Callithrix jacchus: one gene and its partner. The protein of the gene in region 1 interacts with the protein of each later gene in a pairwise test. Links are inferred from orthologs where the notes say so. Each region holds a gene or a part of one and is shown in the gene's direction. Other genes may lie near its edges.

Evidence for each region. The genes of interacting proteins can lie anywhere in the genome.
Region 2: the proteins of PAK1 (region 1) and RHOJ interact in binary tests that used the Homo sapiens proteins (3 or more experiments, as listed by UniProt). The link is inferred for Callithrix jacchus from reciprocal best matches to the Homo sapiens genes PAK1 and RHOJ.

The regions. Positions count from the first base shown.
Region 1 is NC_133511.1:63,525,041-63,529,267, forward strand, and holds the start of PAK1 (serine/threonine-protein kinase PAK 1), read left to right. Parts: upstream 1-1,427; 5' UTR 1,428-1,635; intron 1,636-4,227. UniProt on the Homo sapiens protein: Protein kinase involved in intracellular signaling pathways downstream of integrins and receptor-type kinases that plays an important role in cytoskeleton dynamics, in cell adhesion, migration, proliferation, apoptosis, mitosis, and in vesicle-mediated transport processes.
Region 2 is NC_133509.1:97,899,064-97,903,250, forward strand, and holds the start of RHOJ (rho-related GTP-binding protein RhoJ), read left to right. Parts: upstream 1-1,387; 5' UTR 1,388-1,856; coding exon 1,857-2,034; intron 2,035-4,187.

The DNA.
Region 1 (4,227 bases):
TGCTGTTGCTTTTTCTAAGTGTCTTTAGAAAATATGCTTGCTTCTTTTTATGTTATCTTACAATGTGTTAGTCTAAATCATTACCATTTTCTGTTATCTGAATCTCTGAGAGAACATTAACTTGTTTTCTTATTTCCACTCCTACCCCTTTCTCCACTAAACAGCCAGTGATCTTTTAAAATATGTAAGTTAGAGTTTGTCATTCTGCTTTCAAACCTACCAGAGCCTTCCCACAGCTAAAACTTGTGACAAAAGCCTAACTCCTAGTTATGACCCGAAAGAGACACCACATAATCTGACTTCTGTCAGGTCTCTTAAGAGCAGGGTTTGGGAGGGGGAGAAGTGGGGTAATACTGCCTCCTAGGGAGCATTTGCAAATGCGTGAAGGTGTGTTTTATTGTTTCAGTAATTGGGCGGCACTACTAGAGGCACTACTAGTCTGGACCATGTTGGTTTCTATACTGTGTTGTTCAGCTCAGGTTCCTTCACAACGCCTGATACACAAAAACACAATAGTTGGTTAAAAAATACTTATTGTATGAGCCCACATTTTCCCTGGACCTCTGTTTTGACATATATGAATTGGTATAGTGCCTACCTCATAAGGTTGTTTTGAGAGAGACATAGAATTTATAAAGTACCTGGTACACAATAGTTCTTAATAAATGATAGCAGTGGCCAGATGTGGTGGCTCACGCCTGTAGTCCATAGTTTGGGAGGGCGAGACAGGAGGATTGCTTGAGAACAGGAGTTTGAGACCAGCCTGGGCAACATGACAGACCCTATCTGTACAAAAAAAATACAAAAATAACCAGGTGTGGTGGTGGGCACCTATAGTCCCAGCTACTTGGGAGGCTGAGGCAGGAGGATCATCTGAGCCCAGGGAGTTCGAGGCTGCAGTAAGCCAAGATCCAGCCACTGCACTGGAGCCTGGGTACACAGCAAGACTGTCTCAAAATAATGATGATGATGATGATGATGATGATGATGAGGTAGTAGCTGCTAAGCTTTCATTGCTTAGAAGCAGCTACAAGGGCCCACCTAGCTCTTCCTGGAGCATTAGAATTAGAACCTGGCACGTTGGGGGAGGGAGGAAGTGTATCTCTTTCTCTGAGGCCTAATCTGAATCCTAGGTCTAACCTGAGGAATCCTAGAAGAGACTCCTCTATACTCAGCTGTAGAAACTAAAGCACAGAGGAGCACTGGTTGCATTCCTTGACTCTGGAGCTCACGCAGGACTCTGACAAGCACTGAAAAACCTGGCCTTGGAGAGAAATTACCTCTTGCTGGAGACTGGGTGTGGGAAGATAGCCCTCTCCCCGCCCTTAGCGCTGCTTTGCAGAAGAGGAGAAGCGCGCGCGGCTTCCTCCCGCCTCCTTCCCTCCTTTCTTCCCCCGCCCCTTCTGTTTCACCAACCCCGACGCAGCGCCTTCGCTGCCGCCCTGCGAGGGCGCGAGCGTGCTGCACCTCGGGAGCTGGCGGCTGAGCTGCCAGGAGCCCAGAGCAGCCCAGCCCAGCCGAATTGAGCGGAGCCCTTGGAGACGGGGCCTTGCGGGAACCCGGCTGGGCAGGGAGAGGTGCAGCTCTGCGACAGAAACAATCGCCAGAGATGCCGGGGCCAGCCTTCCCCACCAGGTAATGCTGGCCCTGCGTGGGGCTTGCCTAGATGGGCCGGGTTCTGGAGGAATCTCCGCAGGCCTTCAGAGAGTGGTGACACGGGGTTCAGTAGATTTTGAGGGGTATCTTACTTTCCTCTTACCTTAAGGGACCCTAAATGAGAGAAGGGGCTGAGGGTATGGAACCTTTAGATGAGCCCACCCAGAACTAGGCCTGCACTGGAATCGGAGCTCTGCTCAGGGAAGTGGGTAAAGGGGAAGCTGCGCCTTTGGGGAACTGCTCTGCCTCAGGAACTCTGCTTCTTTGCAAGCCCCCTTCTGCTTGGTGGCCAAGGTGATGTTTTCCTCTATCTTGGCTTGGCAGCTGGCCTGTTGGGACTGTGGGGCTTTTCTCTGTTAAGAGGTTGAGTGAACTGGGAGACAGGAGACCTGGGAGGACTGGTCCTATTCAGACATCTTCAGTTGCCTTATCTGTGCAGTGAAGGACTTGACATTGTTTGTTACTCTGGCTTTCCAAGCCTTCAGACCATCTTTTGGAAAGGTGAGCTGGTTTAAAATGCTAAAATGGGCTGCAGAGATGTTCCCCTCAACACTGCAGAAGAGAGGAGAACTTGGGAAATAGACCATACTGTTTTCCAGCCAGCCTTTTGAATGGCCTCTTGCTGGTTCTTCAGAGGCAAGGCAGAGGCTTGAGAATGCTAATGCTTATTTTAGTGTGGTGTGTAGGTGTGTTAGGTGTAGGGAGGCAGGGTTGGGAAGTAGAAGGTCAAGGTATGTTAATGGTTCTAAACTGGCCAATTTTTCTGTCTTTAGGTATAAAGTTGCTTTAAACTAGACTCTCTTCTCTGGAGCTCCTTCCTTATTCTGCTAAGTTAATGACAGACCTGGCTGTGGTAATATCTTAATCACTATAATTCCTTCCTTCTTTATTATCTGGCACCAAGAAGTTCATGTCAGGCCTGATAATAACCTACTTTAATTATTTTGGAACTCTTTCCTTCCCCCAGTTTTTTGATGACTCTACGTCTTCTTCCTCTCCTCACTCTTCTATTTTCTCCTCCTGATTTTTCCTGTCTTAGCCCTGCCTCCTGCCTACCTTTTCTCCCACCCTCTCTTCACCCTTCCTCCTCCCCTCGTGCTTCCCCTTTCCTATTTCTCCCCCTCTGTAGCCAGTCTTTCCTTCCTTCTCTCGGATCCTCCTCCTCTCGATTAGGCTTTCTTCTCTTTTCTTAAAATTTTTGGTTAAGCTTTCTCATTGTTAGTAGGTTACTGGTTTTTAGGGACCTTCTGCTGTGTTTGTGAGGTCCAAACATTGTTTTCTACCTAACTCACTTGCTTCTAGCTTTTACCTCCAAATTCTATCTTCCCCAAATACCATTCTCTCTCCTTACTGCCTCTATGCTTTGCCTTGGGCCTGCCAACAAGCAATTCTTCTTCCTGCATTTGTTTCCTGTCTTCTTTTCTGGTGGTGGTGGGGCAGCAGGTAGGCAGTAGGTAATAAGCAAGATGGGAAGTGGGGGGCTTGAGTGGGAGGAGAGCAAAAATGTCAAGTAGTGTTGGGCAGAGGTTCAAGTTCCCTTTAGTGAGATGAATGACTGGGAGGACCAGAGACTCTGGCAGCTGTGAGGTAGTGCTGATCTGGAGAAAAGGAGGTAGCCCAGGGAAGAAGAGGGAGGATAGCAGGATAGAGGGACAGGAGGAGGAGGAGGAGGCCTGGGGGAGAAGACAGTGCTCTTTGAAAAAGACGGTAGCCTGGACAAGATAGGGGTTATTTGGGGTCAGGGTATATGTAGAAAGAGAAAGATTATAGTGTGGGGAAGAGGACTATGTAGGTTAATTATCTTCCCCTTTGCTGACCGGCTTTTTGGACTGATTTCTACTCAGCAAATTTTTTTTAGTTAAAAAATGTGAAAGCATTTACCATGTTTATCATGTTTAAGTGTACAGTTCCATTTTAATAAGGACATTTATATCCTTTTCTCCTTCTTCATCCTCACCACTCCCTTTCCTGGCCTTTGGTAACCACCAGTCTACTCTATCATCATGAGATACACTTTTTTACCTTCCATATATGAGTGAGAACATGTGATATTTGTCTTCCTGTACCTGACAAAATGGCCTCCAATGTCATCTATGTTGCTGAAAATGACAGGATTTCATTCTTTTTTTATGACTGAATAATATTCCATTGTGTTACATGTGTAACACACACACACACACACACATTTTCATTTTAGCTTTTATGAATAGTGCCACAGTATTCATGGGAGTGCGTTATCTCCTTCATATATTGATTTCCTTTCTTTTAGATATATACCCAATAGTGGAATTGCTGAATCATATGGTAGTTCTATTTTTAGTTTTTTAGGAACTTCCATACTATTCTCCTTAGTGGCTCTACTAATTCACATTTTCACTGACAGCATATGAGGGTTCTTCTTTCTCTCCATCCTTGCCATCATCTATTATTGCCTATCTTTTTCTTTCTTTTTTTTCAGACAGGGTCTTGCTCTGTTGCCCAGGCTGGAGTGCTATGGCACAATCATAGCCTCCTGCAACTTCAACCTCCCAGGTTCCAGCAGTTCTCCTACCTTAACCTCTCAAGTAGTTG
Region 2 (4,187 bases), on another chromosome or scaffold:
TCATCAATATTCTCAATATGACTGCTCTATCAGCCTAGATCCCTGAATAAAGATGATAACAATATACAATAAAGATACAATGTGAGCAAGAAATATATATATTATTTTAATTCATTTAGCTTTGGAGATTGTTACTGCAATATAACCTGACTGATACATCATAACCTGTCTGAAATGCCATCCCTTTATAGGAAAGAAAGGCTTGGACACTAAGCACTATGATAAATGTTACTATAATTTAAAACAGTAGAAACGTGAGACTATACTATATACTATACCATATATATTTATATGGCAGCATATAAATGATATGTGGGTATATCTATTATTAATAGCCACTTAGTAAAACAGACTTTTCTCCCATCTCACCCCTCACCCAATAAAAGGAAAAAAAAAAACTTCTCAAACAATTGGATAATGTGAATTCTTCAAAATCAATGTTCAAAAAATGAAAGAAAAAAAAAACAAATTTCCTCATTTTGACCCATTTGTCAAAAATCACTTGCAGAGTTCCACTCTTTTCTCAGACCAAGCACATTAATCAAATACAGAGTGTCAAAGAGGCTTCATTTTGAGTGACCAAACAGTCAAATAAATTAGCTGCCCATGGCTCCTTTGTAATTGAAGAGGACCAGTCTGACCCAAGGGGACACTAAATCAAAAAGCAAAATGTCCAAGCAAAAACAGCATCGAGGGCCTTAAACCAACCAAAAAGCCATCCTGTATCTGCTGTGTCCAAGGGTGTTACATATGAGTCAAGCACACATGTGTTTATCCACTAATAAGAATATGCAAATGTCCCACATCTGATTGATTTCTCATGTGCTATGATCATAAAAAAAAAAAAGTTTGTGTGTGGAATACATATTCCAGACATGTGGCAGTTTATAAACCTGATCATATTATACCTACAACCTACAAAAATTTTTCCCTTTGAAATGAGATGACTCTAGAAGGTTTTCTTCTTTATTTCTGGGAAAGTCACTTAAAGTTTCTCATTTAAGTCAGTAAAGAACTGCTCGTTTTTAGTTTGCAGAGCTTTCAACTGGTGACTCAGTGAGGGGTGATGTCATGTGTTATCCTAGGACCACTGGTGTGGTTCTCTCTGCTCACTCTAACCATTCCCCCTGTTTCTGTGGCAGGCAGTCATCCCCGGTTTCCATCTTCTAGTCAGTTTCTTCCCAGCCAGCCAGGAGCACACAGCCTCACAAGCAGCGGATGAAACAGGAAGTCTGACAGCTTGAGTCTGCAGTGGGACCCCTAGTGTTTTCCCACTCCATGTCCTGGCATCGTTCCCCAGAAGTACAAACACACACACACAGAGCTCCCATTGTTGCAGCCTTCCTCAGCCCACTGATCCTAATATGGAATGCAGCAGGAAACCCATGATTTCCTGACACTCGGCAAGCTGGAGGAAGCAAGGGGAAAAAACTCCATTAAAAAGCCCAGCTTTCCTCCATGTTAGATGTGACTTGGAAAATGAGGACGATTTAGCAAAATTTCACTGTGTCTTTTGCCAGACTGGAGATAGGAAGAACAGAGCAAAACTCTCAGGCTGCTGAAATTTTTAGGCTGTTAAGAAGCCCCCCGAATTCTGTGAAATTGAAGGTTTCTTAACTCACACTGATAGCGGAAAGGGGCAGATCCTTTTCACAACTCCTCCAAGTGTGAGTTACCTTTCCTTACCAGCATGGTAAGCAACAGGGTATATCCCAGCCTCGGACATGTCTGTATGAGCCAAGGTTCCCAAAGTCAGTCAGAGTAAACTCAAGCCTGGCACTGGCTTTCCGCCGTTTCATGTGCTTTGGGAGAAGCGGGAGCAGCAGCAGGAGTCCCTAGCAGCTGGAGCCGCAAGAATGAACTGCAAAGAGGGAACTGACAGCAGCTGCGGCTGCAGGGGCAACGAGGAGAAGAAGATGTTGAAGTGTGTGGTGGTGGGGGACGGTGCCGTGGGGAAAACCTGCTTGCTGATGAGCTACGCCAACGACGCCTTCCCGGAGGAATACGTGCCCACTGTGTTTGACCACTACGCAGGTAAGAAAAACTGGGAAACTGTGCATCCAGACCAATGATGCGGGGGGTGATACCTTAACTTCAGAGGGTCCTGGCTCATTTCTAATGTCAGTATTGGGTGCGGGCCTGGCAGTAACCAGGGAGCTTAGCGTAGCATACAACCAAGGACTTGGCTGAAATTGTTGGTAGAACAATTTGTGCATCAATTTGTAGGGTAACACTTTTTCCCCCTTAAAGCAAAAGGGTAATGCCAGGAAAATACTCTGACGTGCCCTCTAGATTTGGGGGCCAGAGATTTTACTCCACATTTGCCTCAAGATTCATTAACTTTTTCTTGTGAACATTTTTAAATGCAGTGTAATTCCATCACAATTCTTTTCTGCCAAAAAAAAGAATCACCACTAGATACACAGTGAAAGGAATGTTCTTGCCACTCTTATATTCACTCCATGCCATTATAAATGAAATGTTAAGATTAATAAAACACTCATTTTTCTATAACAATTGGTGCTGTAATACTATAGTTTTATTTTCCTGGGGTTGTAGATTGGGGGAAAGTTTTTAAAAGGTTTTAAATATCTATTAGGTAATCTGTATCTTAAAAGAAAAATGTTTCATTAACATGTTTTTAAAATTAAAAACACAAATAAAATCTGAATCATTTTAAAGTATGTCCTGAAGGATAAAATGCACATACAATATTTTAAAGCATGACAATTAAGATATTGTAGTCACAACCTAATTCTTTCAGAGGACCTTTAATGTTTTGAATGTTCTAAAGTTCAAAACATTAAAGGTCCTCTGAAAGAATTAGGTTGTGACTACAATATCTTAATTGAAGTGGGTGATAGCGTTCCCTAAATTTTTCCATTTTGATTCTTACTTTTTCCCTTAATTTCCAAACCAAATTATATTAAGTCTATCAAATGCAAGTTAATGAAATTCCTCAAGCTTATAGTAGCCTGAATTTTATAACTTATTTATATTATCGTGATCTTTATCAGAGATCTGAGACTTTGTGGAAGGAAAATTTCTCCTCCTTCCCTTTGGCTTTGGGTCAGGTTCGGCAAAAGGAAAATGGCCCACAGGAAACCAGCATGAGTGTCTGCTTGGCAATGCGGCCATTTGAAATCCTCATTCTGTAGAAAGTAGCTTCTTTTCCAGAACAAAGTCATCACCTAAATCACTGCTTTCTCCTACACTTACCCAGCAAGTGTAGGAGAAAATATTACCCAGCAGACAGAGAGAGAACCACAGTGAATACAGTATCCAATTCTCAGCAGGTTTCTTTGTATTTGTAAAAATTTAGAGCAAATTTTAATGCTGGCTCACTTAAGCCTTTCTGAAAATATAATCACTGCCCAGAGAAGAACATTTTAATGAGAACAGAATAAAGAGAAGAACAGGTTGACTTTCATCTTGAGAAAAAGACTAATTATAAAATTTGAGGGTCTGCGCCTTAAGAGAGTTACTCAGATTCATGTCCTGAAAGCATCTTAGCAAAAGTTATTTATTCTACATCTTCTTTCTGCCAAGAAAGGGAAAGTGGCTACCTTATTTCAAAAACTTTAAAATCAAGGGTGGAATTCAAAATCTACTAAAGGAAGAGGCTTCAAATGCTTATGAAAATTATGTATCCAAATCCCCATACATGTAGGGAGCCAATTACCATGTTGTATCAGGAAGAAAGAGAATCAAGTCAGCCTATTAAACACACACACACACACACACACACACACACTAGAAATCAAACAAAGGCTGAACCATAGCTAGATTCCACTATGCTCAAATTATTTTATATCTTAATTATATACATACTATTATTGAGCATTAAAGCATCTTAAAGATTTTGGCTAGTCTATTATTTTAGCTCCCAAGAAATCACAACCACTACACCAAAGAGCAATACTTTGCACATAGTAAGCATTCCTGAACATGGTTCCTTTGATGTACACTTTGTACCTCTTTAAGTGTATAATCATCTCGTGTGCTTTCAGTAAGGTTTAAAAGGGAATGGAGACATGAGCCACACACGTCTAGGACTGTAATGAAGTGATCATTTCTATAAGCAGAGGGATCTTCTCCATCGCACAAACTTGATTTCCTTTTCCACCACTCTCCTGATCTATGATCTGGGTGAACATAAATCCTTATGCAATCACATGAGAACCTAC